Elephas maximus indicus: one gene and its partners. The protein of the gene in region 1 interacts with the protein of each later gene in a pairwise test. Links are inferred from orthologs where the notes say so. Each region holds a gene or a part of one and is shown on either strand. Other genes may lie near its edges.

Region 1 (7,121 bases):
TCAGGTGTTATTCACTTAGTGTTGCTTAAACACCATCTGCTCAAGAGGTGAGCTTTCCAGGCATGAAGTCCACGGTGAGGGGAAGAATAAATGTCGTCTTGGTTGCTGAAAATGAGCTTCCGAAAGGCAAGACTGGTCATGCTTCTCCCAGCCACAATTTCCCTGTGGTGGCTCCTCCTCCCTGTGTCCTTCTGTCCCCTCTTCCATCTGTACATCTCAACACCCACAGTCCCCTTGGTGCTGCCCTCCATGCACCAGCATTATGAGGGATGACTGGCTCTCCAGCCCCAGTGGCTGCCCCTGACCCCCGTGCACCCACTGGACTGCCTCCCTGTTAACCTGACTGCCACCTGGTCACCTTCCCAAACCCAGACCTCCTCCGGGAGCCTTCTGTAACCACCTCCCTTCCTGCAGCCGAAGTGAGGTTGAGCAACTGTGGCCCCTCAGGGCTTGTCCCTGCCCTTGTGGCTGCAGGATTTGACCATCCGGTAATGTATCTGCTGCCTGGCGTGTCTCCCAGCTGGACTGAGGGCTGTGGACAGTAGGCTGGGCATGGGGCTGAGCCTCGCATATCGCTCAGCAAGTCCCCACAACATCCCCGAAACGGACTCACTTGATCAATGAGGAAAGTGAGGCCCAAGGGGAGGTGCCTGCCAAGGCCACACACTGTGCTGCAGGGAAGGGTGCTGAGCTCGCCCAGGCCCCAGGGCCAAAGGGGCCCCCTGTGCCTGGCACAGTGCTCAACACGTGCTAGGTGCTCACATAACATTTGCTAAAGCCATGAGCCAGTGAGACGGGCCAGGGCGGAAGCAGAACACAAGCACAAAGCCTCAGGGTACACTGCTCCTCCAGTCCTGGGGTGCCCGTCTTCCCTGCCTCTGAGAAGGCTGGGCAAGGAAGCCAAACAAGGGAGCCAAAAGCTGTTGACTCTGGGTGGCATCCAAGGAGGGGAGCCTCAGGCCATCCACTCATGGGAAAGGTGTTGGGGGTGGAGGGAGAGGCAGTCAGGTCACCTCTTGGCTCCTGTCTGCTTCTGTGCTAACTTCCCTTCCCTCCCCCAGGACCTGACATCCACGTCCCTCTCAATGATCAACATCAGACTTGTCTGACATTGTTGTATCTGTTTTTGTCACTCCCAGATGTAAGAGGTCAGATGGCCATTGCCTCTCCACCACTGGGTGGGCTTGGGGGAGGACAGCAGCCCACCTCTGAAAGGCTTTCATGACCACTCCTTTAAGCAGCTCTCTCAGACACCCCTAAGGTCCCTGAGTGACTCAAGCAGTTTGTGCTTGGCTGCGAACCTAAAGATTGGCAGTTCAAACCCACCCCACAGTGTGGCAGAAGAAAGTCCTAGTGATCGTCCATATAGATAATAGCCAAGAAAACCCTGTGGAGCTCAGTTCTTTGTAACACATGGGAACGCTGTGAGTCAGAATGGACTTGACGGCAACGAGTTTGGTTTTGGTTTTTTGGTCAGACTCTCCTGGAAAGGCACCTGGTTTTTGGAACCAGCATAAGCTCCTGATCCAGGCATGTCCAACACTCCCTCCCACCTCAGTGCACTTGCCACTTTTTTGGGGGGCCTCCTTGATCCCTGAGTTGAGGTGGGACCTCCCTACTATACATGGTCATCGCTCTTCCACTGCAGTGCATATTGGTTTGTGTTTTTTGAGGTTACTGCCCAACTCCCCTACCAAACTGTGGGCCCCACGGGACAGGGACTGCTCCCCCTGCTTGGCGCTAGTCCCTGAGTAGTGCAAACGGTTACACTAGACTGCTAGCTGAAAGGTCGGTGGTTTAAAACCACCCGGCAGTGCCTCGGAAGACAGGCCTGGCAATGTGCTTCTGAAAAGTTACAGCCTTGAAAATCCTATGCAGAACAGCTCTACTCTGCACACATGAGGTGGCCATGCGTCAGAATTGACTGGCAACTAACAACCTGTAACATTCTGGAATCCCTGGATGGTGCAAATGCTTTACAAGTTTGGCTGCTAACTGAAAGATTGGTACTGAGTCCATCCTGAAGCACCTTGGAAGAAAGGCCTGGCTATCTACTTCAAAAGGTCACAGCCTAGAAAACCCTGTGGAGCACAGTTCTGCTTTGCACTCATTGAGTCATCGTAATTTGGAGTGGAGAAACCAGAACAGCAGCCTGGTCTAGCGCTCAGTACCAGTCCTACAAAAATTAGCTGAGCCAATAGGTGATTCTGGGTTTGCCTCCTGGGATCGAGGCCTCCACCTGCCATTTCTCTGCGACCCGTGTGACCTTGGGTGGGTGCTTCAGCCTCTGTGCCTCGGTTTCCCCCTCTGCACATTGGCGCTTCCACTGCCCACTTCACCTAACTCTTGTACAGACTCAGTGTCACCATGAACGTTCCTTGAGCAACGCCTACCGGGTCTGGGACAGAAAAGGTGCCCGCTGAACTGTAGCGGCTGCGACTCCAAGAGCGGAACGAACCCCAGGGCATGCTGTTCTCGCCACGCCTCGCCACTTCTGGCCAAGGGTCGCGCGGTCCCTCAGCGCTGGGCCTGCCCTCCCTGAGGCCTCCCGGGCCCCCACGGAGGCCTGAGTTCCCGAGCCTCGCTGAGAGGCGGGGAGGGTGGTGAAGCCGGTTACCTGGCGGTTGCCAACCACAAGGCAGCCCACTGCATTACCTAGCAACAGGGCGGGGCTCGCGGGCAGAAGACCCCGCCTGCTTCTCCAGTAATAGGGTGGAGTCCTCAGGTGCGGCCCTGCAGCCTCCCGGCCTCACACCTTGGTGGGGCCCACTGGCCAGTCACCTAGCAACGGGGTGGGTCCCCGAGGGGCGAGGCCCCCGCCGGTTTCCCGGCAACGATGCGGGTGGGGAGCCCTGAGTACCTTGCCCTTCAGGTCCAGCACGTAGACGGCGCTAGCGGACATGGCGGCTGCCGGAGGCCTCGGCGGCAGCCTCAACAGCAGCTGCGGAAACAGCCGGGCGTTGATCAAGGCCGGCGCCCCGCGACAGCCCGCCTCCACTTCCGGTCTGGGAGCCGCGCGCGGACCGTTATGTCCGGCCTGGGCGGAGTTGCCAGCATCGCGCAGGCGCAGAACGGAGCGTGCACAGGCGCAGAAGCCCGGTGCGAGCCACGTTTCCCACCCCGCCTCCAGAATCCAGAAGTCCGCGCCTAGTTAGGTGCAAGATGTCAAAGGGGGGCCTCACCTGGGGCCCAGGCTTTACGGAGCCGCAGTCTGATGTGGGAGTCTAGAAGGCTCCGTTGGGAGGGGAGAGGTGGCGATTTACTTGGAAAAAGGTCAAGGAAACTCTCTGAAAGGCAGTTACGCCTTACCGCGGTCACTGTCACCTGTCATTACTAACGTTCGTCAGTGGAAAAGCGTGGTTTTCTGCTTATTGCCTGGAATGATCTCGTGAAAACCACGCCCTCACTGAACATAGATGAAAAGAACAGTCTGTTTTATTGTGGTAAAAATATGTAATATTTACCATTTCAATAGTTTTTACATGTACAATCGAGTGATGCTGTGTTCATCATGTTGTGCAGCCATCTCAGTTTCTAAATTTTTCCATCACTCGTAACAGAAGGGAAACCCTGGTGGCCTAGTGGGTAAGTGCTATGGCTGCTAACCAAGAGGTCGGCAATTCAAATCCGCCAGGCGCTCCTTGGAAACTATAGGGTCGCTGAGTCGGAATCGACTCCACAGCAGTGCGTTTGGTTTGGTTTTGGTTTCTTAACAAAAGCTCACTGCTTCCTAAGAAATAACTTCGCCTTTTTTCCCTCCTCCCATCCCTGGTCTAAAAAAAAAAAAAAAAAAAGCTGCCATCAGTTCCGACTCATGATGACCCTATCTGCTCCACAGGGTTTTCTTGGCTGGTGGCACATACAGTTACACACCCAGCTGCTAACCAAAAGGCCGGCAGTTCAAACCCAGGCAGCCGCTCGGCAGAAAGACCTGGCCATCCACCCCCATAAAGACTATCGCCAAGAAAACCATATGGAGCATTCCACTATCACATGGGGTCACTATGAGTTGCCAATGCCTCAGTGGCACCTGACAAAAAATCTCTGTGGAAGATAGCTGGGCTTTCTTCTGGGTCGCCACTGGGTGGTTCTGAACCACCTTTAGTGGTCCAGCACAAACCATTTGCACCACTCAGGGACCTTTTGTTTTTAGTCCTTTAAGGTATTGTCATGGATTGAATTGTGTCCCCCAAAAACACATCTATCAATTTGGGTAGGCCACGATTTCCAGTATTGTGTGATTGTTCACCATTTTGTCATCTGATGTGATTTTCCTATGTGTTGTAAATACTGTCTCTATGATGCTAATGAGATGGGATTAGTGGCAGTTACGTTACTGAGGCAGGACTTGATCTACAAGATTAGGTTCTGTTTTAAGCCAATCTCTTTTGAGATATAACAGAAGCAAGGGATGGCGGGGGTATGACTCATAACACCAAGAAAGCAGCACTGGTATCCAGGGTTCCCAGTGCAGGGAAGCTCCCAGACCAGGGGAAGATTGATGACAAGGGCCTTCCCCCAGAACTGGTAAAGAGAGAAAGCCTTCCCCTAGAACTGGCACCCTCATTTTGGACTTCTAGCCTTCTAGACTGTAAGAGAACAAATTTCATTGTTAAAACCACCCACTTCTGGTATTTCTGTTATAGCAGCACTAGATAGCTAAGACAGGCATGCACACCCTTCATGTGCGATAAATTCAAGAGGCCGCCTCCCGTGTGGAAACCAAACAGCTTATAACTAAGACACACAGACTCATTTAATAATTGGTTGTTGCTTTATTCTGCAGTTCACATGTAACAGCCTCAAGCCCCACACTTGATTTTTGTCTTCTCGCTTTGTTACTCTTTCAGAAGCTGGGTCAGCAGAGACTGTCTCCCCCAGTATACAGATTGAGCCTCATCCAATAAACACAGGCCCCCAAAAGACCCTGGCTCTCCACCGCCGGTAATGGGGTCCTTCTGTTTGATCACATACATGTCTGTCTGTGCTGGAGTTCAGCCCTGGTCATGTGCCAACTTGGAACCCTGGCTGAGGGGGGAGTCAGGTGGTATCTGGGCTCCATTACAAAGAAGGCTGTGAATGATTTGCAATGTCTGCCACAGGGGCCATGGTGACACCCATTAGAAGTGTCTGGGATGGGGAAACTGGGAGAGGGGCTGCAAGCCAGTCATGGGCTCAGAAAGGGACCAGGTGGGATGCTTCATCCCTGCCATAGGCAGCCATCCTCTGCGTCCCAGGCAAGAGGGCTGTGGAGGTGGTTGGAAGACCACAAAGCCATGGGTAGCTTCCCTGCATCCTGGATGGAAGAGCTTAAGCCCCAAGCTCATGGGAGTTTAGAAGGGGAGCCTACATATAAGGGGGTCTGCACACTGCAGGCCACACCAGCATTAGCTCCTTATCCTCTGGAGTCAGTTTTATCTGGATGAAGAGAACTGCTTGGTTGTCCTCAGAAGCTTAAATGCAACTCAGAGAACTAAATATTCTTACATGGCACTTACACAGCAACGACTTGAACCTCTGGATAAACTTCCAAAGCTTTCCAGCCCACACTAAAAACCAAAATTGAGTCAAAGGACAGTCTTACTTTAATCAAGTTCTAGAACAAGGAGACAGTTTCAAAATGCACGGTTGCAGCAGAAAATGCAAAGGCATGGGTAAAAGAATGTTTCTAGAAAATGCCAAAGGGACCCGACTTAACCCCAACTCTGTCTTCTGCTTCCCCATGAGGCCACGCCATGCCCAGGGGCCAGGAGGCTACTTGGTCCAGCTGACTTTGGGGATGTCATAATGTTCTGTGAGTGTGTCCAGGTGTCTGTTGAAGTCCTGTGAAGGTCAAGGAGAAAGCTCGTCTCAGCACTGACCCATGCAGGGTGTGAAGGGCACAAAGCCTTGCCCACACCACCTCTTCCATGTCCTGCCTCTCCTTTCCTACTCTCCACTCAAACCCAACTTGCCAGGTCCTATAGATGCCCGAACCCTGGGCTCTCCCTTGAATGACCCTGGGAGGACCCTGTGGTGGTTAATTTTGCATCAACTTGGCTAGGCGATGGTGCCCAGTTGTTTCATCAAACACCAGTCTAGTTGTTACTGTGGTGGTTCAGCGGTAGAGTTCTTGCTCTCCATGTGGAAGACCTGGGTTCCATTCCTAGCCAATGCACCTCAAGCGCAGCCACCACCCATCTGTCCGTGGAGACTTGCATGTTCAGCAGAGCTTCCAGACTAAGACGGACTAGGAAAAAAGGCCTGGTGATCTACTTCCAAAAATTTGCCAGTGAAAACCCTTTGGATTACAATGGTCCAATCCATAACAAATGGGGATGGCGCAGGACCGGGCAGTGTTTGGTTCCATTGTGCATGGGATTGCCATGAGCTGGGCGTTGACTGAATAGCAGCTAATAATTGTTTTTATCAGCTGGTCTTAAGCAGATTACCCTCATAAAGTGTGTGAGCCTCATCCAAGCAGCTGAAGGCCTTACGAGCAAACCACAGGTTTCCCAAGGGAAAATTCTGCCTCTAGACTAGATATTCTGTCAGAATCCCCCTCTCCCCAGCCGCCTGACTTACTGATTTTGGGACAGAATACTGCAGGAGTCTACAGTCTATCTCCTAACCTATGGATTTTGCATTTGCCAGCCCCCCAAAGGTTCATGAACCAATTCTTCAAAATAAATCTGTGTGTGTGTGTGCGTGCGTGCGTGCGTGCGTGTGTGTGTGAATACAGGTAGTCCCCAGGCTACGAACGAGATCCATTCCTAACTCTGTCTTTAAGTCGAATTTGCAGGTAAGTCAGAACAGGTACATATGATTCTTATTTAGTGTCAGTCAAATGTTTGTCTTAGTATATATTTTACCTTTCTATGCATATAAAACCCTTAAATACTTCCAAATACACTAAAACATCATGAACGTAATACAGTACATAATAATACGATAATAAAAATAACTACATACAATACTGTACTGAAGAGAGAATCTGTGTGTGTAGGTATACAGCACTGTAAAAAAAAAAATTAAAGGAACAGTTCTTAAAACAGTTTAGATAGAAGAAAAAAAAAGAAAAAAGATCCTGATTAAAGGTTAACACTTACTCTTGTTCCATCAGTGTCTTGCATACCGGAAGG
Region 2 (7,367 bases), on another chromosome or scaffold:
CCCAGTTGCAAAGCTTTTTTTTAATACAGCCTAGATATATCTCTTATCAGATACGTCGTTGTTAGGTGCCATTGAGTCAGTTCCAGCTCACAGTGACCCTATGTACAACAGAATGAAATACTGCCCGGTCCTGTGCCATCCTCACAATTGTTACGCCTGAACTCGTTACAACCACTGTGTCATCAGATACATGATGTGCAAAAATTCTCTCCCATTCTGTGTGCTCTCTTCACTTCTTTGATGGTGTCCTTTGAAGCATAACTGCCCTACCAGAACCTCCGGTACAATGTTGACTAGAAGTGGTGATTGGACACCCTTGTCATACTCCTGACCTTAGGGGGAAAATATCCAGTCTTTTGCCATTAAGTGTGATGTTAGCTGTGGATTTTTCATACTTGCCCTTTAAGAGGTTGAGGAAGTTCCCTTCTATTCCTAGTCTGCTGAGTGTTTTTATTATAAAGGGGTGCAGGGAAATTTTAAGATTAATGTTACCTCCTATCATGCCCTTAAACCAAAACTGGTGTGAGTTAGGACTTAATACTAAAATCTGCCTTCCACTCATCCCAAGGAGGAGCACTGCCTGGAGAAAAACTATGCAACTCAAATAGGTGCCACAAAAGAATCGTGGTGCCTGAAATCAACCTTCAGGGCTACTCACCAATTCCTACCCTCGTCCTTTGTCAGCTCCCTCTCCTAATCCCCTCGACAACTCTTCTAACTCTCTACCATTTTCAAGTCCTCAACTTAATCCCTACCTCCTCATTCATGGAAGACTGCCTTCCCTCTTAAAATATCAAGAAAGTTAAGTCCAGCAAAAATGCTGTATTTCTATTTCTCACATTGCAACCTAAATATCTACACAATCCCTACCCATTCTGTCTTCCCACAGGTCTCAAGGTCAACCCTTGTTCAAGGTCAACTCCACTGACTTTTATACCCCAGCCCTTCATCTCTTGGTACCTTGTCCCGTCAGTCATCTGATGATCACACTTCCTCTTAATGCAACTTTCCCCTCCGTCAACAAGTAAACCCAATCCTTTCCCATATTAAAGTTTCACATTGAAACTTCCAGAGAAAATAGTTTCTGCTTACCTTGCCATTCACTGCTTATCCCACTGCAACCAGGTTTTGATGTTACCAGTCTACTGGAATTCCTAATTCTGAGTCCTTCTCTTACTCTATGCTGTGTGTGATACCGTTGATTTCATTTCCCTTCTAGAAAACACACAGTTCTGTGACAATTGGGAGTCCTCGAATGATGCCGATAGAAGAAACAGTAGAAAACAAGTAGACGGTAGTGCCCCAGAAGACAAATGACAAGACTAGTTGTAGCACTAAATGCTACAAAGAGGCCTGCAAAATAGGAATTGTACGTAAGATTTTGTAATGTGCTTAACTTCAGTTAGCAATCTTATCCTATGCAAATATGTGCCTGTTAAAAAAGGGAGAACCACAAAAATAGTCACAATAATAGCTAGCTCTGGATTATGAAATACTTTTCTTACTTTGGCCTATCCTATTTTCTAATTTTTCTATAATGAACATATTAATTATAATAATAATAACTAGCAATTTTGGAGGCTTAACACTGTTAAATCCTATACATGAATTATCTAATTCTCAAATTTTTATCCCCATTTCATAACAAAGCTGATATCTAAAACAACTAAGTAAACTGCTCAAAGTCATGTAAATTATTTGTTCATTAAAGATTAAAGAATACAGTTGGACTATTTTTCTCCTGTCAAACTGGCAAGTTAAGAATATTCAATGCTATCAAGGACTAGGTGATAGAGTGACCCTGGACAGGTTAATTTTTTCTGAGTGTCGTCTCATCTTAAAATGCACCAAACCAGAACGTGACACTAGATTAAAAAAGTAGCTGTTAACCAAAAGGTCAGCAGTTTGAACCCAATAGCCACTCTGTGGGAGAAAAGATCTGGCAATCTGCTCCCATAAAGATTACAGCAGTTCTACTCTGTCATATGGGGTTGCTACAAGTCAAAATCAACCCAACAGCACATAACAACAACAGAAGTTTCAGAATAACCCAAATGTCTAATATTAATGGAACTGCCATAAAAATTATGATAAACTCATAAATTCCTTTTTTAATGAAATCATTAATAGTGTTTTTTGAACAATGTGTAAGTTCTAAGGAAAACTCTTCTATCTTTGAACTCCATGCCCACATTTCCAACAACTTCCTTCCAACTTGACTGTCTCACAGGCATCTTAAACAATCAGAAGAAAAATCAATTTTTATACCCCACCTCCCTCCAACTTGGCCTTCCTTTAGTGTTCCCTACTTCAGAGAAACAGCACCTCCACGCCTTACTCCCTCACTGCATGCCCTCATCTCCAAGGCTTGTCAGTATTACCTCCCAGATTTATCCAGAATCCAACCACTTCTCCCCATCCTCACTGTCCCCACACTAGTCCTACCTGGACTACCGTAATAGTCTCCTCATTAACTTCCAAGGCAACTCCTCCCTCCCCACTCTCCAAATAGTTCTCCAGACTTCAGCCAGAGTAACCTACAAAAATCCCAACTCTGATTACATCTTTCTCCCACTTTAAACCTCTTCAGTGGCTTCTTCTTACTTACTGTCAGATATAATACAAAACTCTGGGCATGGCCCACAAACTGCATAATTAGGACTCCCTTGCTCTCCTGCCTGGTACTTGTGGATACCATGTCAGATTTAATAATTTGCCACCCCCTGCCCCTCTCATTAAGGAGTCTTGGTGGCACGGTGGTTTAGTGCTTGGCTGCTAACCAAAGGTCAGTGGTTCAAACTCACCAGCTGTTCCACAGGAGAAAGCTGTGGCAGTCTGCATCCATAAAGACTGGTGGATTGGAACTGCCAACGTTCTGGTTACCAGCCAAGCTCTTAACCACTGTCAGGCTGTAATCCTTTCTGGTAGGAGTGATTGCCGCTTATATTTCAATCTGAGTTAACTGGACATATTTTCTGTTAATTCAGTTGTATTTTTGTGCTCCACATGTTTTTGTAATCTGGACAACTCTCAGATCATTTACTTCTTCATCTGGTTTTTCTCCAGCCTCAACCCCTGCCATTCTCCTCACTCCCCCTTGCCTCCAGGCCTCTGCACTTGCTGTACACTCAGCCAGCAAAGGTCTCCTCCTCCTCTCTTCAGCCCCACCTAGGAAATACCTACATCCTTGGTCTTCTGCTCAAAAGTCCCTTCCCAGGGACGGATTACCCAATAAACCAGGTATGCACAGGCTCACTTGTGCTTACTTACTAGTCTGGAGTACACAATTTCACCTTTTTTTCACCACATCTTTGATACCCTTGTGAAACTGTGCACAATAGATAGTAAAAGCCTAACATTTTCTGCATCACTATCTACAAACCACAACTGTTCATAGTTTTCCATCAGCATTTAATGAATACACATAACAGTAACTGTAACTGTTGGGATGCAAAACCATTTACCCAGTGATCCCAATTTGGGAAGAAAATGAATATGCATAAAGAAGAAGGCAGAAAATGCACTCATTAAGAAGACGTGGGAAACAAATGCATCTGTATTTGCTTTTAAAAAAAAAATGAGGTTGGAAACACAGTAAGCCAATATAACTGGTAACTTGTGTAGGGAGCAAGGGCTTTCAAACGTATTTTTTTTTTTTTAAATCCCGTGATTTTTCAACCACGGGAATGTATTCCCTAACCAAAAATATTAAATATTTGCAAAACAAAATACACTAAAACTTCAACGATGAGAATATGGTGTTGTTTTCTACTTCCATACTTTAAATCCTCTGCAGTGAATATAAATAACTTCTATGATCAGAAAAAAAAAAAAATCGTACTTTTTAGGGGAGATCTTTGGCCACGTCGGAGCTTTCCGTGGAGTCGCAAGGGCGGTGGGCAGGGAAGCGAAGGCTGGCGCGACGACGGTCCGGATGGGTTTGTTTCCAGACAGGAGCGCCTCGGGCACAGCAGGGAAAGAACCAGGAGAAGCGGAGACTGAAAGGGCGAACCGAGGCGGAAAGAACAGGCGGCCGGCGCCAGCGAACTCGCTCCGGGACGTTTCGCCAGCAGGGGAGCACCCGCTTGGCCTGTATGTGTCTCAGAACTACGAAGAAGAAAAAAGAGAATGACGGTCTGTTGAGGTTGCTTTTGTGGAAAAATAAACAGGAGAGGTGGACAGACTTCCCACCGGAAGACTCTAAAGCGCCCGGCTGAGCGAAAGCACTACGTCCTGAAAGAAGCACCGGAAGGACTCGGCGGCCGGGCAGCCCTTGGGTAAGCCCCGCCCACCACCCGGGGAAGGGCGAGACGCGGGCAGGAAACCTGGGGGCCGTGAGCTCACGCGAGGTACCCACCTCCGTGCGGATCTCGCGAGAGCGATAGAGGGCGGAAGCGCAGTCCATGCAGGATGCGGTTCCTGGTTGCGTTGGTACTTCTGAGCGCCGCAGCGGCGGGTAAGACCCCCTCACTACCCCTGTCCCACTCTTGCCCCCAGTTCGTTCGCCCTCACCCGGGCCGGTCGTCTTCCCTGCCCGACCCACCTTTCGCTGCGGCATCAACTCCATCCCTCCCCCACCCCGGCCGTTGCCTCGGTCTCTTCCTGGAGCAACGGGTTCCTATTTTTCAGGACCCTCGGAGCCACAAGCCGCCGAAAATCTGGCCCCCAGTCCCAAGAAAAATGACACTTCTATAGCAGAACAGTCGTTTAAGGAGGATCGTTCCAGCAGACCCACTGTGGGTTCGACAACCAGAAAAGACACCCCTGGCAGTCCGGGTACGGAACAGACGAACCTGAAAGTCGACCCTAGTAGTCCAGGTCCGCAACACACGACTCGGAAAGTCGACCCTGGCAGTCCAAGTCCGCAACACACGACCCCGAAAGTCGACCCTGGTAGTCCAGGCCCGCAACTCACGACCCCGAAAGTCAACCCTGGCAATCCAGGTCCGCAACACACGACGCCGAAAGAACACTCTGATAACAAGCAGCCCTCCAAGCCTGGCCCGGACGCAGTAACTGACAAAAAAGACAGTCTGCATGCTTCTAGGACAGAATCTGGGGAGAAAGTGTCAACAAACTCTGACCCTGCTTCTCCCCAGCAGGAAGGAGATCAGTCTTCAGAGCCTGCTGAAGATGTGGAGCCCAAAGAGGCTGAAGAAGATGATGGAGAGCCTAAAGAGGAGTCACCACCCAAAGAAGGGATGTCAGGCCAGGCCCCCAGTGAGAACCGTGAAGGCCCGCCTTCGGGTTCTATGAGTAGTGAGGATAACCTTTTTAAGGATAGTCCTGGAAGTGCTAGTGCGGAGAGCAGCCACTTCTTTGCGTATCTGGTGACTGCAGCCATTCTTGTTGCGGTCCTCTATATTGCCTATCACAACAAACGCAAGGTAAGCTGAGAGTTGCCTTAGGGAGGGGAATGGGATTTCCTCCACTCTGAAATCGTGGTGTATGGGCCAGTTTTCATCACTCATTCGCCTGTGAACACAGGAATTTTAAGACAAACTTCAATTTTTCCTCAGGTCCTGTCAGGGCTCTTCACTCTTTTTGTAGATCTTATTTCCATGATGTCACCTACCTGTTTTCCTCTCAACGCCCTCTGCTGTTGCATTAAGTGCCAAGTTAAGATATTATGACCTGTCCTGAAGTGGGTGCCCCTCCCATAACCTTGAACTTAGAGCCTTCCCAGCTCCAGAGAACTTGGGTACCTGACAGTTTATAAGTTCTTAGGGCTATTGTCTTCCCATTTCCACTTTTGACATGAGTGTGTCATTTCTAGCTTTCCTTTCCAAGCTTCTGTCTTCCATCTGCAGAGGTAGAAAGAATGGTTTCAGTTACATAGTCTTCTGCATCAACAGCAAGGAGCCCTGGGACTATCTTCTGCAAGGTAGGGTTTCCAATAACTAGAAGAAAACCCAGAAATCCCACAGATACATTTTTTACTTCTTAGCAGGATTTGGTGTTAAATGACATCCCTGCCCCTTAACAACCACTTTAACGACGAAACGGTTGCATTTCGTATTGAGACCTAAGCATTTGAAGATAGTTTCTGTAGCCTCGTGTCTTAGTTACCCACAGCCAATGTAACAGAAATGCCATAAGTGGATGGGTTTAACAGCAGTTTATTTGCTTGCAGTTGAGGAGGCTAGAAGTCCAAATTTAGGATGCCAGTTCCAGGAGAAGGCTTTCTCTCTCTGTCAACTGTGGGAGAAGGTCCTTGTTATCAGTCTTCCCTTGCATGGGACTAGAAGTATCTCAGCACAGTGACCCTGGGTCCGAAGGACATGCTTCCCTCCTGGTTTTTCATTCTTGGTGGTAGGAGTTCCCTCTGTCTCTCTGCTCTCTGTCTTCTTTTATTTCTTGTAAGATAAAAGGTGATGCAGGCCACACCTCAGGGAAATTCCACTTACATCAGATCAGGGCTGTGACCTGAGTAAGGGTATTTCATCCCATCCTAATCTTCTTTAACTTAACCTAATCTTGCCTCATTAACCACTGGCAAAATTAGGATTTACAACACATAGGAAAAATACATCATATCACAGAATGGTGGACCACCACACAGTACTGGGAATCATGGCCTAGCCAAGTTGACACATATCCTTGGGGGCACAGTTCAATCTATAAAACCCGAAAACCAAACCCACTGCCATTGGTTCATTTACGAATCATAGCGACCCTATAGGACAGAGTAGAACTCCACCATACAGTTCCCAAGGAGTGCCTGGTGGATTCGAACTGCCGACCTTTTGGTTAGCAGCTGTAGCTCTTAACCACTACGCCACCAGGGTTTCCATTCAATTTATAACACCTGGTTAAAATCTCAAAGTCCAGCTCATGGCAGTCAGCCTATAGCTGTGAAGAGCAAGCGAGAGCATTGAGTAGAAATGTGCTCCCCTTACTCCACATCCAAGTGACTCAGCTATTCAGCAAAGGAGGAACCTTAGGAGTAGCCCGAGGGTAGGAACGTTAAGAGTGCACTTGATCTAGAAGCAAGGTATGGATATGAAATAATTACTGACAATTATTTTTAAAAAAAGTCCTCGCCTGGAAAACTCAGCCTCTGGAGCTCTCTGGGAAGGAGTTGGCAGCTCCATCAGTTCGGTGGCCTTGAACTGAGAGCTCACGAGTAAATCATGCAAACTCCCACCAGCTGCAGCCCAGAACAGACCAGCCTTCTTCGTCTTTTGTTCCTGTCAAGCAGTTACCTAAATGAGCCAAAGGTGGCCTCTGTATTAGCCCCATGTTGTTTACTTCACAGCAAGCTGGGGCCTGTTAGCCCAAAAAGCCCACCTGCACCAAACTCATTTTTACACATCTAATTGTAAAATCGCCCAAATAAGCAGATTTTTAGCTCCTTAGAGCCTGCC
Region 3 (7,633 bases), about 43 Mb from region 1:
GAGGTAGATAAGATGGTCTAAGGTTCCTTCTAGCTCTAGATTCTAAGGCTAGCAAAGGAAAAGACGTGTGTCGTGAATAATAAAATTCCCCCAATTTCAAGACTTAAATTACAAAAAAAGAGACACATATTTTGCTAAATGATTTGCCCTATTTCTGTTTGGTAACATTTGATAGTTATTCCCTGACATTGTAATTACCAGTAACCTGTTTTTTTCCTAAATAATCTGTAACCAGTTATTGGATACCTTTAAAGTTTACCATATTTTTTATTTCACTAATAGCCACCACCAGTACAATCTGTACAATGCTTTACAGTTTTCAAAGCATTCTGGCATGCATAACCTCACATTAGTTAAATATGAGAGGGAAACCTTACTTTAGATAAACTGCTCCCACTTACCACCTCTTGCCTGAATTTCTTGGGAAAGAAAGCTAGTCTTTATTATTTATTAAACACTTTGTAAGATAATAAAGCATATACCAGCAGATACCCATCTCCAAAACAAACCATTAATACGCAACCCAGAGATGAGTCAAATCCAGTTATTTCACTAGCCGATAAGCCAAATCTAGTTCTGTCAGCATCAGAACCATGGAGTTACCCCTCAGTGAAATTTCTATTTTATTTATGATTTGGGGAAGAAAATTTGAGGAATTATAATTAGTTTTCCAAAATTTCAGTGTAGCTATACAAACCAATAGTTCCAGACAACAAAAAGCAGTCACAACAAAACATGAAGCACATGTAGTGATTGTCCTTTACCCCCCAACTAAAACTGCCAACACGAGTTACTGAAGTAACCAATGTTCAACTTTCCCCAGTGCCAAACAGGACCCTCACCTCCTATTTACTTACTTCTTTACGTTTCGTTTCTGGACATTCCGACTGCAAAGTGAGAGTTGCACCTTCGATATTTCTTGGCATGGGCGTGGAACCAGGGTTTATTGTTAAATGAATTTGATCTGGTGAGATAATGTGTTGCACATAACCCTGTGACATTGCTTCATGATCTATTAGGTGAAAGCCCTCTTCACCCCCGACTAAAAAAGGCAAATGTTCTCCACACTGTCCATCGTCTTCTTCATCCTCCAAAGTGCCAGGGTCCTGCTCAATAAGAACAGTTGTCCTATCATAAACAGTTCCAGATGAGGAAGGCACCAGTCCGTTTTTATCCACAAACCTGAGCATCTTGTCATCGGGAGTCAGCTCATCTTCCTCTGCCTCAAAGTAGATGATGTTGTCGTCTGGACTGTGTTCCTCCATGGTTCAACAGCGCTCAGCCCAATTGCGAGAAATGGAAAGGTGATGACCCTTCTGCAATAGAACAAGGCGAGAGTTAGAGCCATACCACAGGACCCAGGGGCCTCCTCAGCAGCAAGAGGGTTCATCTTCCCTCTCATTTAAAGAACAGGACAAAGCAAATAAAAAATCATCTTCCTTGGGAATAATTCCTTTAAGTTTAACTTTGAAATCTTCGAGTCAGTTTTAAGGAAAAGCAATGCCTTTTAAAAATTTTTGAATAAGTAGCCAATCAGTTCATAAGACCTTCTGAATATGCCTTCCTGTCAAACAATGTGAACACTGGTCAAAACACCTAAAGGGGATAAAGGAGCAAACAGAAGAGTAGCTGCTTCAAGGCTGAGTCGCTGTAAATATTAAAGTAAGAAAACCCCACCCAAATATTCCCCAAATCAGATCATGAGGAAGTGCAGTCTATGGCAGAAGAGTAAGGCTTTGGAGCCATACTCACCTACCTACAAAACCTGGCTTTGCCCTTCACTACTTGGGTAACATTTCTGTGTTTCATTTTCCTTATGTGTAAGTGGGACTAGTAATTCCTGTTCTCTCAAAGTTGTCACGAGGAGTAAAAGAGATAATGTATGTAAAACACAGCGTCTGACAAATAGTAAAGGAACATTGTTAATTCCTTCCCTTCTTCCTAGAACAGATGTTTCAGCTTCTGGGTGGAGAGGGTGCTCCCTAATTGGACACACCTAATGAAGATCACTTTAATTATTTCTGTCCTAAAACAATTTGATGTTAACCAGAAGCTATGCCAGTATAGTGGCTCTCTGCAGTGAAGACATGATGAGTCTTAACTTATTTTTGTTTCCACAGCCCTTAGCAGAGTACACTGATACTAGAAGTTCAGGAAATGTTAGGTGAATGAATGAAAGACCTACAAATATACTCTCCTGGGCAAAATACCAAATTTGAAGGTTTCCTGTTCTAGAATAGTGATTCTTCCTTCACCTCCAAACACAGAGCTTCTACAAATGTGGGTATGGCAGGCAGAAGAGAATTTAAAAATAATCAACACATCACTAGTTTTCAGTCCACTTTGCACTTTATCTTTCTCTTCTGCTCTAGGTTAGAAAGTGAGTTTTTACGTAGAGGGGCGGTTAGACAGAGGTAGTTACCGGGCACAGGCCAAGGGATCAGGTCCGGGAGGAACCGGCTCGACCCCTGGCTCTGGCTTACGCAACCCGGTAGATGCACATTTCGCTGCATCTGAGAGCAGAGATAAGAGCACCCAGAGTCCCACTGGGCTGTCCCGGCACCATCAGCGGCAACGCGGAGATCAACTGTCCGGAACAAACAGAACAGGTTTGAGGATGGCAAACGAGGAGTAAGAACGAAGCACCTCTGAGAGGAGGCTGAGGAAAGAAACCTGTCTGGGACAGCCCCCAGCTCAGGGATACACGGAAAAATCCGAGACAGAACTGGGGGCTACAAGCCGAGTGATGAGGGACAGGGTCCGGGTCTCCATGGAAACAGAGGAGGGGGGCTGGATACCCATCCCCATGGAAACGGAGGAGGGGTGGGGTCCCTATGGTGACTGGATTGAGGTCTCCACTGGGAAATGTTTCAGAAGGGAGCCTACGTCTCGCGCCCCCCGGGAAGTCCCAAGCCCAGGCCGAGTCTAGTTTCGCCTTTTACCTCCGCGGCTCCCGGCAACGGCGGCAGCAGCAGCTTCTCCCCTCCCCAGCGGCACCATGATTGCCCCCACCTTCCCCGAACGTCACTTCCGCTTCCGCTTTCCGGAGGAAGGAGGGGAAAGCCGCCTCACCTCTCTCTTGGGCTTCTGGTTGGTTTAGGCGAGCTGGGGGCTGAGCTCGAGCCCCCAATTGGCGAGCGGGAAGAGTGGGGCGGGGCACCGAGGGGACTCAGCCAGTGCCTTGAGTTGGACTCCCGCCGGGAAGCGCCCCAGGCAGTCCGCGATCGGTTGGAAGCCAAGGCACAGCTATTTCGGCCCCAGACGCAGGGACGGGACGGATTAACCAGTAAGCAAGGCACGTACGGATTTACTTGTGTTTACTTCCTAATCTGTAGTGAACACATGGGTTGAAATTGTTCATTACAAAGTAATAAGTACACACAAGTAAACCTTTGCGTACCTTGTTTATCGGGTAATCCGGCTCTGCGCAGGGAACCGGCATGAACCCCCAACCCCTAATCCGAAGGCACTTCAGCCCGGGTTGAGCTCGCCACTCTCGCCCTGGCGGCCACAGCTGCAACTGGAAGGTCCACAGTTAACCACAGAATCCCGGCTCACACCCGCAGGGGAAGAGCCTAGAAGCATTCTCGGATTTCACTCTCAATGGCCCCAGCTCCCCCTCATCACTTATTAAAGTTAAAATATAGACGAGGACAGGGACTCAGTAGGAAAATTAATAAAAGATTAGACCTAAGAGACAGAACTAGGAGTACTCCAAACCAAGCCAGAGAGGACGCCGCTTCTTCCTGTTCTCACACGCTTTCAGAAGGGCCCAAATCCCTTCTTCACACTCCTGCCCAAGCTCTGAGCCCCAATTGTTTCCTGCAGAGGGTAGTCAGCTTCAGTGGGGCTCGTGCTCAGGCCAGTCAACTCCACCTACCGGCCACTTACTTTCTTTAACCGTACACGTTTTCATTCAGGTCCATTTCTAAAATCGCGTTTTACGGCGCCAAGCAGTGGCGCTTCAGTGCCCAAAAAGCAATCTTTCTTGTGCCTTCGTTATCCTCCTATCCTTTCAGTCAAACTCAAATACCAGGAAGATCTAGATATTAGCACTCCCAACAGCCAACTGCCTGTATTTTTCCATAAGCTGCCTCTCAGAGTAGGACAACCCCCAAAGAGACTAGATCAGGGTCTTGGGGTTCAGGCCATGACGCTACCATTTCTTGCTTGAAAAATGTGAATAGTACCTGTTACCCACCAGACTGCCAGGCAAACATCTCTTTGGTCCCTGACGAACTGCCCCCAGTACTTATACCACAAAGGCCCAGCAGTCAAGAGCTGCCATCTCTTAAGAAAGAAAAATATACACACCAACCACTGTTAAAAATACATTTATCATCAAAATATACATTTGAGAGAAGGGATGCATTATATACAGTTTGGAGGATTTGCTGGTCCAGAAAATTCCACTTGTTTCATGAGAACACCGATTTCTTCTGTTTTCATTTTCAAGACACTGTGCTGTCTCCAGTGGCCAGCCTCAGAGTTACTGAGCCACTTTTGAGTAGGTAGAGGTCTAGGATCTGCATATGCATATACACATGTCCTCAGACGAAGCACTGGAAGCATCTGGGGTGGTTGTGGTCTGTCTGTCCAGAAGCTTCCACTTGCATTCTTGCCATCCAACTCGCTCTCCTTTGAGGACTCCAAAGTTTGTTTAAATGATATCTGACCATGGGAGCTCAGCCCAGGCCACAGGGAAGACACTGACTTTGCCCTGGAGGCAGGCTGATTGAGCACAAGAAGTACAGTTATTTTTTATATTTTAAAAATAAAATAAAATAGAGATATATCTGTGTTAAGTAACAAAAGTTGAACATTGAATGTCAGTTTTATTGTGGTAGATGTTCCCCTATGTCTTCACAACTCACAGTAGCACGGAGTGTGCTAGTCATGAGGTTCTGGGCTCAGGAAACATGCAGCTGCCAATTCTTGCTTCCAAGGGGCCTCACACCCTTTAAAGGCAGCCCTTGAGCTGAAACAGGTGGGGCTTGTAATGGCTGCCTCTGATAAAACAGGAGAGGAAATAGCTCAGGCTGAGTTGCAGAGGAACTGGTGAATAAATTCTTGAGCCTTCTTCTTCTCTGCCATGTCAAGCTTTTGGTGACCAGCTGGGTTTCGAAGCAGCAAACTGCCAAATATGCTAGCTGCATGGAAAACACAGAAAACAAATGATTCAGCAGAAAAAGGTCCTACTTATTCTTGAGTTGTTAGGAGAGGGGAGAATGACCAAAAACAGTACTTTCTGCTTTTAGAAAAACTAGTGGAGTGTTAAACTTCGCCCAAAGCTAGAGATTTTAGTTCTATTGCAGTAGACTTGGGACCGTACTCAATCGCATTTTGCATAATGAGTTTCTCAGTTGGCGGAGATGCTTCTCACAAACACTTGGCTGCTTACCTAGAATATTCTCATCCAAATGATTTTTTGCTGAATTTTTCAGCAATTCTTGCAAAAACGCCATCAAGTAGTTGAAGACATTTTTGTGGAATGTGGGGAGAGTAGAAATGACCTGAAAGAGGAAGAATTGGTGTTTGTCTTATCATTCATTCAATCAACTATTTTGTCAAGTGCCTACTATATTCCCGGAACTAAGTACACGATCCAAGTACATGAGTAAGACTGTGCACAGAAAATTTTCATCACTTGGCACAAGTGCCAAAAGTGGCACAGATCAAGCACCATATGAATTTAAAGGTCAAACTTGTAACTGCATGTTCTCAAATGACTTCAAGGGATAGATGGCATTTTAGTTGGTCTTGAATACAGACAAAATTGGACTTACAGAAGCAAGGAATAGGGTACTTAGAACCAAAGAAAGTGTTAAAAAAAAAAAGGGGGGGGGGCAAGAGAAGGCAATCAGTGAGATAAGTCAGGAGAACACGCTGTGAGAAGTCAATCTTGGCAGTGGCACAACTGTTTAATAGACGCTGAGCCCTGCAGGGCTGATCAGGCTAGGATTTGCCGAGTACTCCAGCTACAGGCGTATCAGAATCAGCTGGGGAGCTTGTACAAAATCAACTCCTAGGCACACTGATAGTGATTCTGATTCAGTGGATCTGGGCTGAGGCTCTGGAACCTATATTATTAACAAGCTTTCTAGCTTATTCTGCTATGGTCTGTTGTATGTGGGAACCACTAGCCTAGATCACAGAAGGTCCTAAATATTTGTGTAAGAAAACCCTAACTGGCAATGGAGAGCCAATTTTGGTTTTTGAGCAATAGTGACATGATGAAAGACAGTGTTAGGCAACACAATCTGAAGGCAGTATGCAAAACAAGTCAGCAGAGGGAGAGCCTGCATGCAGTGCCCTGAACCAAGGTGAGTGGATTGAGGATGGAGGAGAGAGCATGGGACTTGACATGTGGGAGATGAGAGACAGGGAGGAGACATATATGACTCAGGTTTCAGAATGAGTTGCTGAAATTAATGGTGATGGCATTAAAAGGAAAAAGGACATGAGAGGAAGAGCAGGTTTGGGGAGTAACGATATGAAGCTGAGTTCCTAAGACACTTCATTTGAGGGACTGTGCCTACTTTGTTTCCTCAGGACCCTTGAAGCCTGGGGCTAGCAACATGTGTATGCTGACGCTTAAGGCTTCCCCTCACCTGTTTACTTGCTGTGTAGTTGCCAGAACACTCCAAGCAGCTATGGTAGGCGCTGTGACAGATGACAGGCTCTGGCAGGCTCTCAAGGAAAAGCAGCAAGGCCTCGGCTACGGAATGATTGTTAGCAGCTTTTGGCCCAGGGTTAAGGAATGGTTGATGATGTGGCCCGTGGTTAGGAAAAGGCTCAGGAGCAAGCATATGCCAGAAGCACTGCCTGCTCAATCAGTCTCTTGGCTCAGAGCTAGGATACCAGCCTGACATCTCCAAGGAGCCAAGCTGTTTGTCAGCATAGCTAGGCCCTCCTGAGTTCCCACTACGTTGGTTGCTTAAAGTCTTCTCTATGGAAACTTTTAAGCAAGGAAAACATAATAGCGGAGGATATGGCATCAGCTTTGGAACCTTAAAATATGTTTCTTTCTCTTATTCATTGTCTCTCTCTCTCACACACACACACGCACAGCTGAATGACTGAAGGATACAGAGGGTGTCAATCATTCCAGTATCCAAACAGTCCCTGATATGCTCAAATTCCGACCTTAGGCCAGGCTGCTGAAACAGATCTTCCTGCAAAAGGGAAGAAAGTCACAAAATAATTATTTTCTTAGAAAATCAGTAACTATTTCCTGAACTAGAAATATAATCACCAGCACAGTACAACAAGGAGCAGTGTGGTGAGGCCCTTGGACCACCCTGGTAGACAATCTGATCAAGGCTGATGTGGCTAATTCATCTTGCAGGCTTTCCCCAATGTATCCCCACAAGAGGTCTTTAGAATGACAAGAGATCTACCATAAAACTACAGGAGGGTATATAGTACGTAGGACAAGACGATCCAGTGTAAGGAAAAACTTCAAAGTCGCTAGGCTTCTTGCAGTGGTATGGAGGAAATGAACCAGAAAAAGAAAAATGGAAGAAAGTATACCATTTATAAGAAGGAGAAAGCTAAAAAGGCACCTCAGTGCTTTGTGCAAACAAGGTTATGGCAATAAAGGCATTTCCATTAGTCCCAGGATACTTTATAT
Region 4 (7,306 bases), on another chromosome or scaffold:
CAAATATCTGCAGCTGCACAAATTTAAGTTAGTACGAATTGGTGTTGTTAGGTGTCATCAAGTCAGTTCCAACTCATACTGACCCTATGCACAACAAAACGCAACATTGTCCGATCCCGTGCTATCTTCATAATCAGTGTTATGCTTGAGCCAGTTGTTATAGACACGGTGTTAATCCACCGCGTCAAGGGTCTTCCTCTCTTTTACTGATCCTCTACTTTACCAAGCATGACGTCATTCTCCAGGGCCTGGTCCCTCCTGATAACCTGTCCAAAGTACATGAGACAAAGTCTCACCATCTGTCTTAGGCTGGGTTCTCTAGAGAAGCAAAGCCAGTAAAGCATATATATATATATATATATATATATACATATATATATAAAGAGAGAGATTTACATCAAAGAAATGGCTCATGCATTTGTAGGCACTGGAGCGTACCAAGTTCGTAGGTCAGGATAGAGGCTTCTCCTGATGCATGTAGCCACAGGGACTGGCGAACCTAGGATTGGCAGGTCGTAGAGGAGGGCTCTTGTTCACAGGCTGTAAAGATCGATGAACCCCAAAGATCAACAGGCAAGACTGCAAGTAAACTGCTAGCTCAAGTCCCAAGAACCAGTGATCAGATTAACAGGAGCCAGCTGCAGGATCCAGAATAAGCGAAAGCCCACAAGCCTTGCCAGAATATCCACTTATACTCACTGCAGGCCACACCCCCAAGGAAACCCCCTTTCAACTGATTGGCTACTCAAAGCAGATCCCTTATGGAGGTAGTCACATAATACCAAATCTCATCATGGAAGTGATCACACCACCAGACAACTATCAAATCACTGAGAATCATGGCCCAGCCAAGTTGACACACAACCTTAATAAATTATGCCACCCTTGCTTCTAAGAAGCATTCTGGATATACTCCTGCCAAGACAGACTTGTTCGTTCTTCTGGTAGTCCATGGTATGGACAATATTCTTCACCAACACCATAATTCAAAGGCATCAATTCTTCTTTGGTCCTCCTTATTCATTGTCCCGTTTTCACATGAATATGAGGCAACTGAAAATAACACAGCTTTGTTCAGGTGCACCTTAGTCCCCAAAGTGACATCTTTACTTTTTAACACTTTAGAGGATCTTTTGCAGTAGATGTGCCCAATACAACAGTTGTTTGATTTCTTGACTTGTGGTTTCCATGGCTGTTGACTGTAGATACAAGTAAAATGAAATCCTTGACAATTTCAGTCTTTTCTCTGTTTACCATGATGTTGGTCATTGGTCCAGTTGTGAGGATTTTTCTTTTCTTTATGTAGGGGTGTAATCCATACTGAAGGCTGTAATCTTTGATCTTCATCAGTAAGTGCTTCCTCTTCCCTTTCAGTGAGCAAGTTTCTGCCATCTGTATATCAAAGGTTGTTAACAAGTCTTCCTCCAATCCTGATGCCACGTTCCTCTTCATATAATCAAGCTTCTTAGATTGTTTGCTCAGCATACACAATGAATAAGTATGGTGGAAGGATACAACCCTGACAGACACCTTTCTTGATTTTAAACCATGCAGTATCCCCTTGTTCTGTTCTAAGTATCTGCCTCTTGGTCTATGCACAGGTTCTGCATGAGCACATTTAAGTGTTCCTGAATTCCCACTCTTCACAATGTTATCCATTAATTTGTTATGACACACATAGTCGAATGCCTTTGCATAGTCAATAAAACACAGGTAAACGTCTTTCTGGTACTCTCTGCTTTCAGCCAAGATCCATCTGACATCTGCAATGATATTCCTCACTCTGTGTCCTCTTCTGAATCTGCCTTGAATTTCTGGCAGTTCCCTGTTGATGTACTGCTGCAATTGCTTTTGAGTGATCTTCAGCAAAAATTTACTTGCATGTGATATTAATAATATTGTTTGATAATTTCTGCATTCTGTTGGATCACCTTTCTTTGGAATGGGCACAAATACGGATCTCTTCCAGTCAAGTGGCCAGTTACCTGTCTTCCAAATTTCTTGGCACACACTAGTGAGTACGTCCAGTGCTGCATCCATTTGATGAAACATCTCAACTAGTATTCTGTCAATTCCACGGCAGCCTTGTTTTTGGCTAATGCCTTCAGTGTAGCTTGGACTTCTTCCTTCAATACCATTGGCTCTTGATCATATGCTACCTCCTGAAATGGTTGAATGCCAACCAGCTCTTGTTGGTACAATGACTCTGTAGATCCCTTCCATCTTTTTTTGATGCTTTCTGCATCATTCAATATTTTGCCCACAGAATCCTTCGGTATTGCAACTTGAGATTTGAATTTTTTCTTCAGGTCTTTCAGCTTGAGAAAGTCGAGCATGTTCTTCTCTTTTGGTTTTCTAATTCCAGGTCTTTGCACATTTCATTATAATACTTTACTTTGTGTTCTCAAGCCTCCCTTTGAAATCTTCTGTTAAGCTCTTTTACTTCATTTCTTCCATTTGCTTTAGCTGCTCTACATTCAAGAACAAGTTAAGTGTCTCTTCTGACATCCATTTTGGTCTTTTCTTTCTTTCTGTATTTTTAATGACCTTTTGCTTTCTTCATGTATGATGTCCTTGATGACATCCTACAACTTGTCTGGTCTTAGATCATTAGTGTTTAATGCATCAAATCTATTCCTGAGATAGTCTCTAAATTCAGGTGGGATACACTCAAGGTCACACTTTGGCTTTCAGTTGACCTGTTTTAATTTTCTTCAGCTTCAAGTTTAACTTGCAAATGAGTAACTGATGGTCTGTTCTGCAGTTGGTCCCTGGCCTTGTTCTGACTGATGATATTGAGCTTCTACATTGTTTCGTTCCTCATATGTAATCAATTTGATTCCTGTGTATTCCATCTGGCAAGGTCCACATGTATAGTCACTGCTTATGTTGTTGAAAAAAGGTATTTGCAATGAGGACGTCATTTGTCTTACAAAATTTTATCATGCAATCTCCAGCATCATTTCTATCACCAAGGCCATATTTTCCAACTACTGATCCTTCTTTGTTTCCAGATTTTGTATTCCAATCACCGGTAATTATCAATGCATCTTGAATGCATGTTTGATCAATTCCAAACAGAAGTTGGTAAAAATCTTCAATTTCTTCATCTTTGGCATTAGTGGTTGGTGCATATTTGAATTATAGTCGTATTAACCGGTCTTCCTTGTAGGAGTACAGATATTATCCTATCACTGACAGCACTGTACTTCTTGAGATGCTCTTTTAGACGACGAATGTGACCCCGTTCCTCTTCAATTTGTCCTTCCTGGCACAGCAGACCATGACTGTCTGATTCAAAATGGCCAAGAGCGGTCCATTTCAGCTCACTATGATTTTGCTCCTCTAAAATAAGGGGCTTTAAAGAGGTCCAGTGAAACCCTGGTGGCACAATGGTTAAACACTGGGCTGCTAATAGAAAGGTCAGCAGTTGAAATCCACCAGCAGCTCAGCGGCAGGAAGACGTGGCAGTCTGCCTCCGTAAAAATTTATACCCTTGGAAAGGGGAGGTTCTACTTTGTCCTATAGGACCACTATGAGTCGTAATGGACTCAAAAGCAATGGATTTACTTTGGTTTGGAAACAGGCCCAAAGGAGTTCCCGGGTGGCCCAAACCGTTAAGCACTAGACCACTAGCAGAGGTTGGAAAGAGGCCTGGGAAGACCCGCCTGACGACGTGCCTGATCTGCCTCCAAAAGGTCACAGCCTTGAAAACCCTATGGAGCGGTTCTACTCTGCACACTTGGGATAGCCATGAGTTAGAATCGACTCCACAGCAACTAACAACAGAACAGGTCCAAGTATAAAAGGCTCGAGTCCCATCCTGGAGGACCTCTCTTCTACACTAATGTGCGTGTGTTTGGGGTGGGGGAGAATTAGTGGAAGCAGGGGAACTGGAGTGTAGAGGAGGCGCTCCTGTCCCATCATCTACCACACGCGGAAGCCCAGCACAACGCCAGCCACACAGAGAATACTAATTTTTTCACTGAATATTTATTGAGCACCCACTGTGTGCTAAACAGCGGGGTGGACCCTGTGAATGATTTTACACAATCTCTGCTAGGTAAGCTGAGACATGTTGAGGTTTAGAAAGAGTTTAAAGGCTCAGTATTGGTGACCGAACGCCCACCATCAAACCCAGAGCTCCTTAACCAGATTGATCGCCCAAAGCCGTACTGCGCAGGCGCCAGCTATCTCTTGTGGCTCTCCCGACGCTCCGCCCCGAACGTGAGTCCCGCATGCGCACATCGCTTTCCTCGCTGACGCACCCCCGGAAGCACAGTTTCGGGGGCGGGACCGAGAAGCATTTCCGGGGGCGGGAGGCACAGGCTGAGGCGGTCGCAACGGCGACGGATTGAACCGACTTGTAGCCGGCGATTGAGAGGTCCTCGCAGTTGGGCGATGTGAGTGTGGAACCCTTGGCAGGTACGGCGGGATCGGAACAACGGGCAGCGAGGGAGGACGGAAGGAAGCCAGGGTGGTTTAAGGATTTCTCTGCAGGCCCCGGCGTGCGCGCGCAGCTGGCCCGCCGGGCCCATTCTGCTGACGGGGATGCAGAAGCCACGCGCGGAAGGTTGGAGTCCGAGCACCCCGGGTCCGAATGCCGCGGTCTCCAGCCGGTCCGGCGCGCCAGTCGTGACACCGAGGCCTTTGGGACAGCGTCTCGCCCAAGGTCACCCCCCAGCGGTGGAGCTTGGCCGGCCTGAGCTCTTAGAAATCTCGTCCCCGTCCGTCCGTCTGCCTTACGGGGTGCTGGGTGAGCGCAGTCTGGTGGTCTCGGGTCCGAGCCACCGGCGCACGAGGCCTTGTGAGGCAAGGCCGGGAGAAGGGCTGAGCCCGGACTTCGATCTGTCTCTCCTTCCCTCTGGGTTTCACTTCTGTCACTCTTCCTGTAACCTGTTGTCACCTGCCATTTCTGTCTTTGTACTTGGACCATGTCAGCATTGTATTTCCACTTTGTCTCTCTCGAACCCATCTCTGTATCTGGACCCTGTCTTTATCTCTGTCTCCACCTTGCTTCTGTGTCTGTCGAGCCTGTCGCCGCCTCTCAGTCTTTACTCTGATTCGTGGCCTGCCTTAGTACGTGTCTTTGGCCGTCTGTTTCTCTCTTTCTCCCAGTGCCTATATCTTTCTTGTCGCTCTCCTAAATGGGTGGATATGGGTGGGGTGGAGCAGGTCTGCCCAAACCTCTGAGCCATGGAAGGTGACTCATGACCCCAGTAAAGTTCCCGGCACTGGTGACTTTGTCAGACTGGCCTCAACTCTGACAGGTGTCAGACGTAACTAATTGTCCAAAGTAACTAAGTGTCATGGTTCAGGGGGGCCTGGCTAGCCAACAAGAGACCATCTCAGGGTCATAGTAGCTAATGATTCCTTGCCTTTTCTTGCCCATGGTTTTTCAGGTCTGCACAACCCCCTCTACCCACCCACCCTCCACATCACTTTGCCCCATCCCCTTATCCCAGGATGATCTGCAGAGCTCTCAGGAGTCTGCTTTTTGAGTTACAGCTGCTTACATAGGCCTGACTACAGGCTAAAAAGGGTTCTGGCTGAGATCCTCTGCTCTAGGGGCTCCTGGAACAGCAGCAGGATTTCTGGGAGAACTGCATGCTTAGTTCAGAGATTGTGTCAGTATGTACAATTAAGTTGTGAGAAACCTAATAATTAGGGGGTTCATTCTTTGCTTTACAAAAGTACTCACTGGAGACTCCTGAAACTAACAAGCTCTTTTTCTACATGTGATTTTTAAAAATTCATTATGTAGCTTTTAGAAACATTTGATTGAAGCTATATTTATTTACTGAGGCCTGCTCTCTGCATAGCAGTGTGTACTGCCAAGGAGAGACCATGGAAGGTCCTTAGAGAAAGAGAGAGTTTAGTTAAAGCAAAAATAGATTCTTGCCCTGACTCTCCTCCCTCCATCTTCCTTGGATTCTGTACAAAAATCTGCTGCAAATAGGAACCTTGAGGAAGATTTTACAGAAATCTTTTCAGAAAAAAAATCTATCAAAAGAAAGCTCTTAGGGTTGGAAAAATAGCCCTTTTATTATCATAACGCACAATTATGTATTTTTCTCCTGTGTTCTGTCATTGGGAAGTTTTTATGTTCTCTTATGTAAGCTGTTAGTTTATCCTTAAGGTAGTTTGTCAAGCTTTCTTATTAGATGTAGCAACTGAATTACTACCATATTTTATTGAATCCTAGTGCCATTGATTATTTTATGAATGACCAAGGAAGAAAACACTGCCAGTTAAATAAACTATGACATAATGCTTTCTTATTACTTAGACTTTGTATTTTATTCTTACTGAAAGCACTTTTAGACTTACTTAGACTTTTTAAAAATAATATTCTAATGCATATATGTGGGACAAAGAACTTGGTTTTATGCCTTGACTCTGGTTTCTGAAAATAGGCTGACTAATTAAGGTGCTCTTTGTCTTTATAAAACATCGAGGCTAAACTTGTTGTTGATTTTGACTCGTAGCAACATCATGCAACATAGTAGAACTGCCTCATAGGGTTTCCTTGGCTGTAATCTTTACAGAAGCAGATCGCCACATCTTTTCCTGCAGAGCGGCTGGGTAGGTTTGAACTGCCAACTTTTCTGGTAGCAGCAGAGCTCTTAACTGTTTGCACCACAGGCGCTCCTTAGGTGAAACAAAAAAAATCCACTGCTGTTGAGTTGATTCCAACTCATAACAACCCTATAGGACAGAGTAGAACGGCCCTATAGGGTTTCCAAGGAGTGCCTGGTGAATTCGAACTGCTAACTTTTTGGTTAGCAGCCGAACTCTTAACTACTACGCCACCAAACTTAAGCAAGTGTAAATAAGTAGGGTTTACGCAGACCCCGCCCTGGCAACAGGCCTCAGAAAGGCAAGGGGGATATGATGCAGTCATACTTATTTATTGATTAGATCTATCATAACTGTGCCTTAAGGCTCAAGTCATGCATATTCATTGAGGTCCTAACGACCAGGGGACCTTGGACCTCGGGGCGCTCTCTTTGGGACCTCCTGGTTCCAAGAGAGCATCCACGCACAGGAGAGGAAGTGGCACGTTTCTGGGGACCAGTGGAGGCCCTGTGCCGGGAACTCTCCCAGACCTTGCCTATGTATTTCTACGCTTGTATACTTTCTCGTTATAATAAACGGGTAACTGTAAGTATAGGTAACAGTATCCATTAATTCTCTGAGCCGTTGTAGATAATTAATGAACACTCAAGGGCAGTGAGTCAGCAGGGGCTGCCAGTACAGCATGTATTTGTGTAGACCCAGCTCTGGCTGGCTGGGTGATAGGGAA

What was found.
Region 2: the proteins of AP1M1 (region 1) and TGOLN2 interact in a two-hybrid assay, tested with the Homo sapiens proteins (2 studies listed by BioGRID). The link is inferred for Elephas maximus indicus from reciprocal best matches to the Homo sapiens genes AP1M1 and TGOLN2.
Region 3: the proteins of AP1M1 (region 1) and MTF1 interact in binary tests that used the Homo sapiens proteins (3 or more experiments, as listed by UniProt). The two-hybrid records come from large-scale screens. The link is inferred for Elephas maximus indicus from reciprocal best matches to the Homo sapiens genes AP1M1 and MTF1.
Region 4: the proteins of AP1M1 (region 1) and ZBTB43 interact in binary tests that used the Homo sapiens proteins (3 or more experiments, as listed by UniProt). The two-hybrid records come from large-scale screens. The link is inferred for Elephas maximus indicus from reciprocal best matches to the Homo sapiens genes AP1M1 and ZBTB43.

The regions. Positions count from the first base shown.
Region 1 is NC_064821.1:36,437,019-36,444,139, reverse strand, and holds the start of AP1M1 (AP-1 complex subunit mu-1), read right to left. Parts: upstream 3,003-7,121; 5' UTR 2,903-3,002; coding exon 2,861-2,902; intron 1-2,860. Other genes in the region: protein FAM32A, read right to left, coding at 5,755-5,823. UniProt on the Homo sapiens protein: Subunit of clathrin-associated adaptor protein complex 1 that plays a role in protein sorting in the trans-Golgi network (TGN) and endosomes.
Region 2 is NC_064835.1:49,271,404-49,278,770, reverse strand, and holds the start of TGOLN2 (trans-Golgi network integral membrane protein 2), read left to right. Parts: upstream 1-4,348; 5' UTR 4,349-4,410; coding exon 4,411-4,456; intron 4,457-4,629; coding exon 4,630-5,387; intron 5,388-7,367. UniProt on the Homo sapiens protein: May be involved in regulating membrane traffic to and from trans-Golgi network.
Region 3 is NC_064821.1:79,444,272-79,451,904, forward strand, and holds the start of MTF1 (metal regulatory transcription factor 1), read right to left. Parts: upstream 3,010-7,633; 5' UTR 2,943-3,009; intron 1,317-2,942; 5' UTR 1,266-1,316; coding exon 858-1,265; intron 1-857. Other genes in the region: INPP5B (type II inositol 1,4,5-trisphosphate 5-phosphatase), read right to left, coding at 5,035-5,150, 5,402-5,513, 6,612-6,739, 7,091-7,175. UniProt on the Homo sapiens protein: Zinc-dependent transcriptional regulator of cellular adaption to conditions of exposure to heavy metals. Binds to metal responsive elements (MRE) in promoters and activates the transcription of metallothionein genes like metallothionein-2/MT2A.
Region 4 is NC_064827.1:77,762,662-77,769,967, forward strand, and holds the start of ZBTB43 (zinc finger and BTB domain-containing protein 43), read left to right. Parts: upstream 1-4,306; 5' UTR 4,307-4,425; intron 4,426-7,306. UniProt on the Homo sapiens protein: May be involved in transcriptional regulation.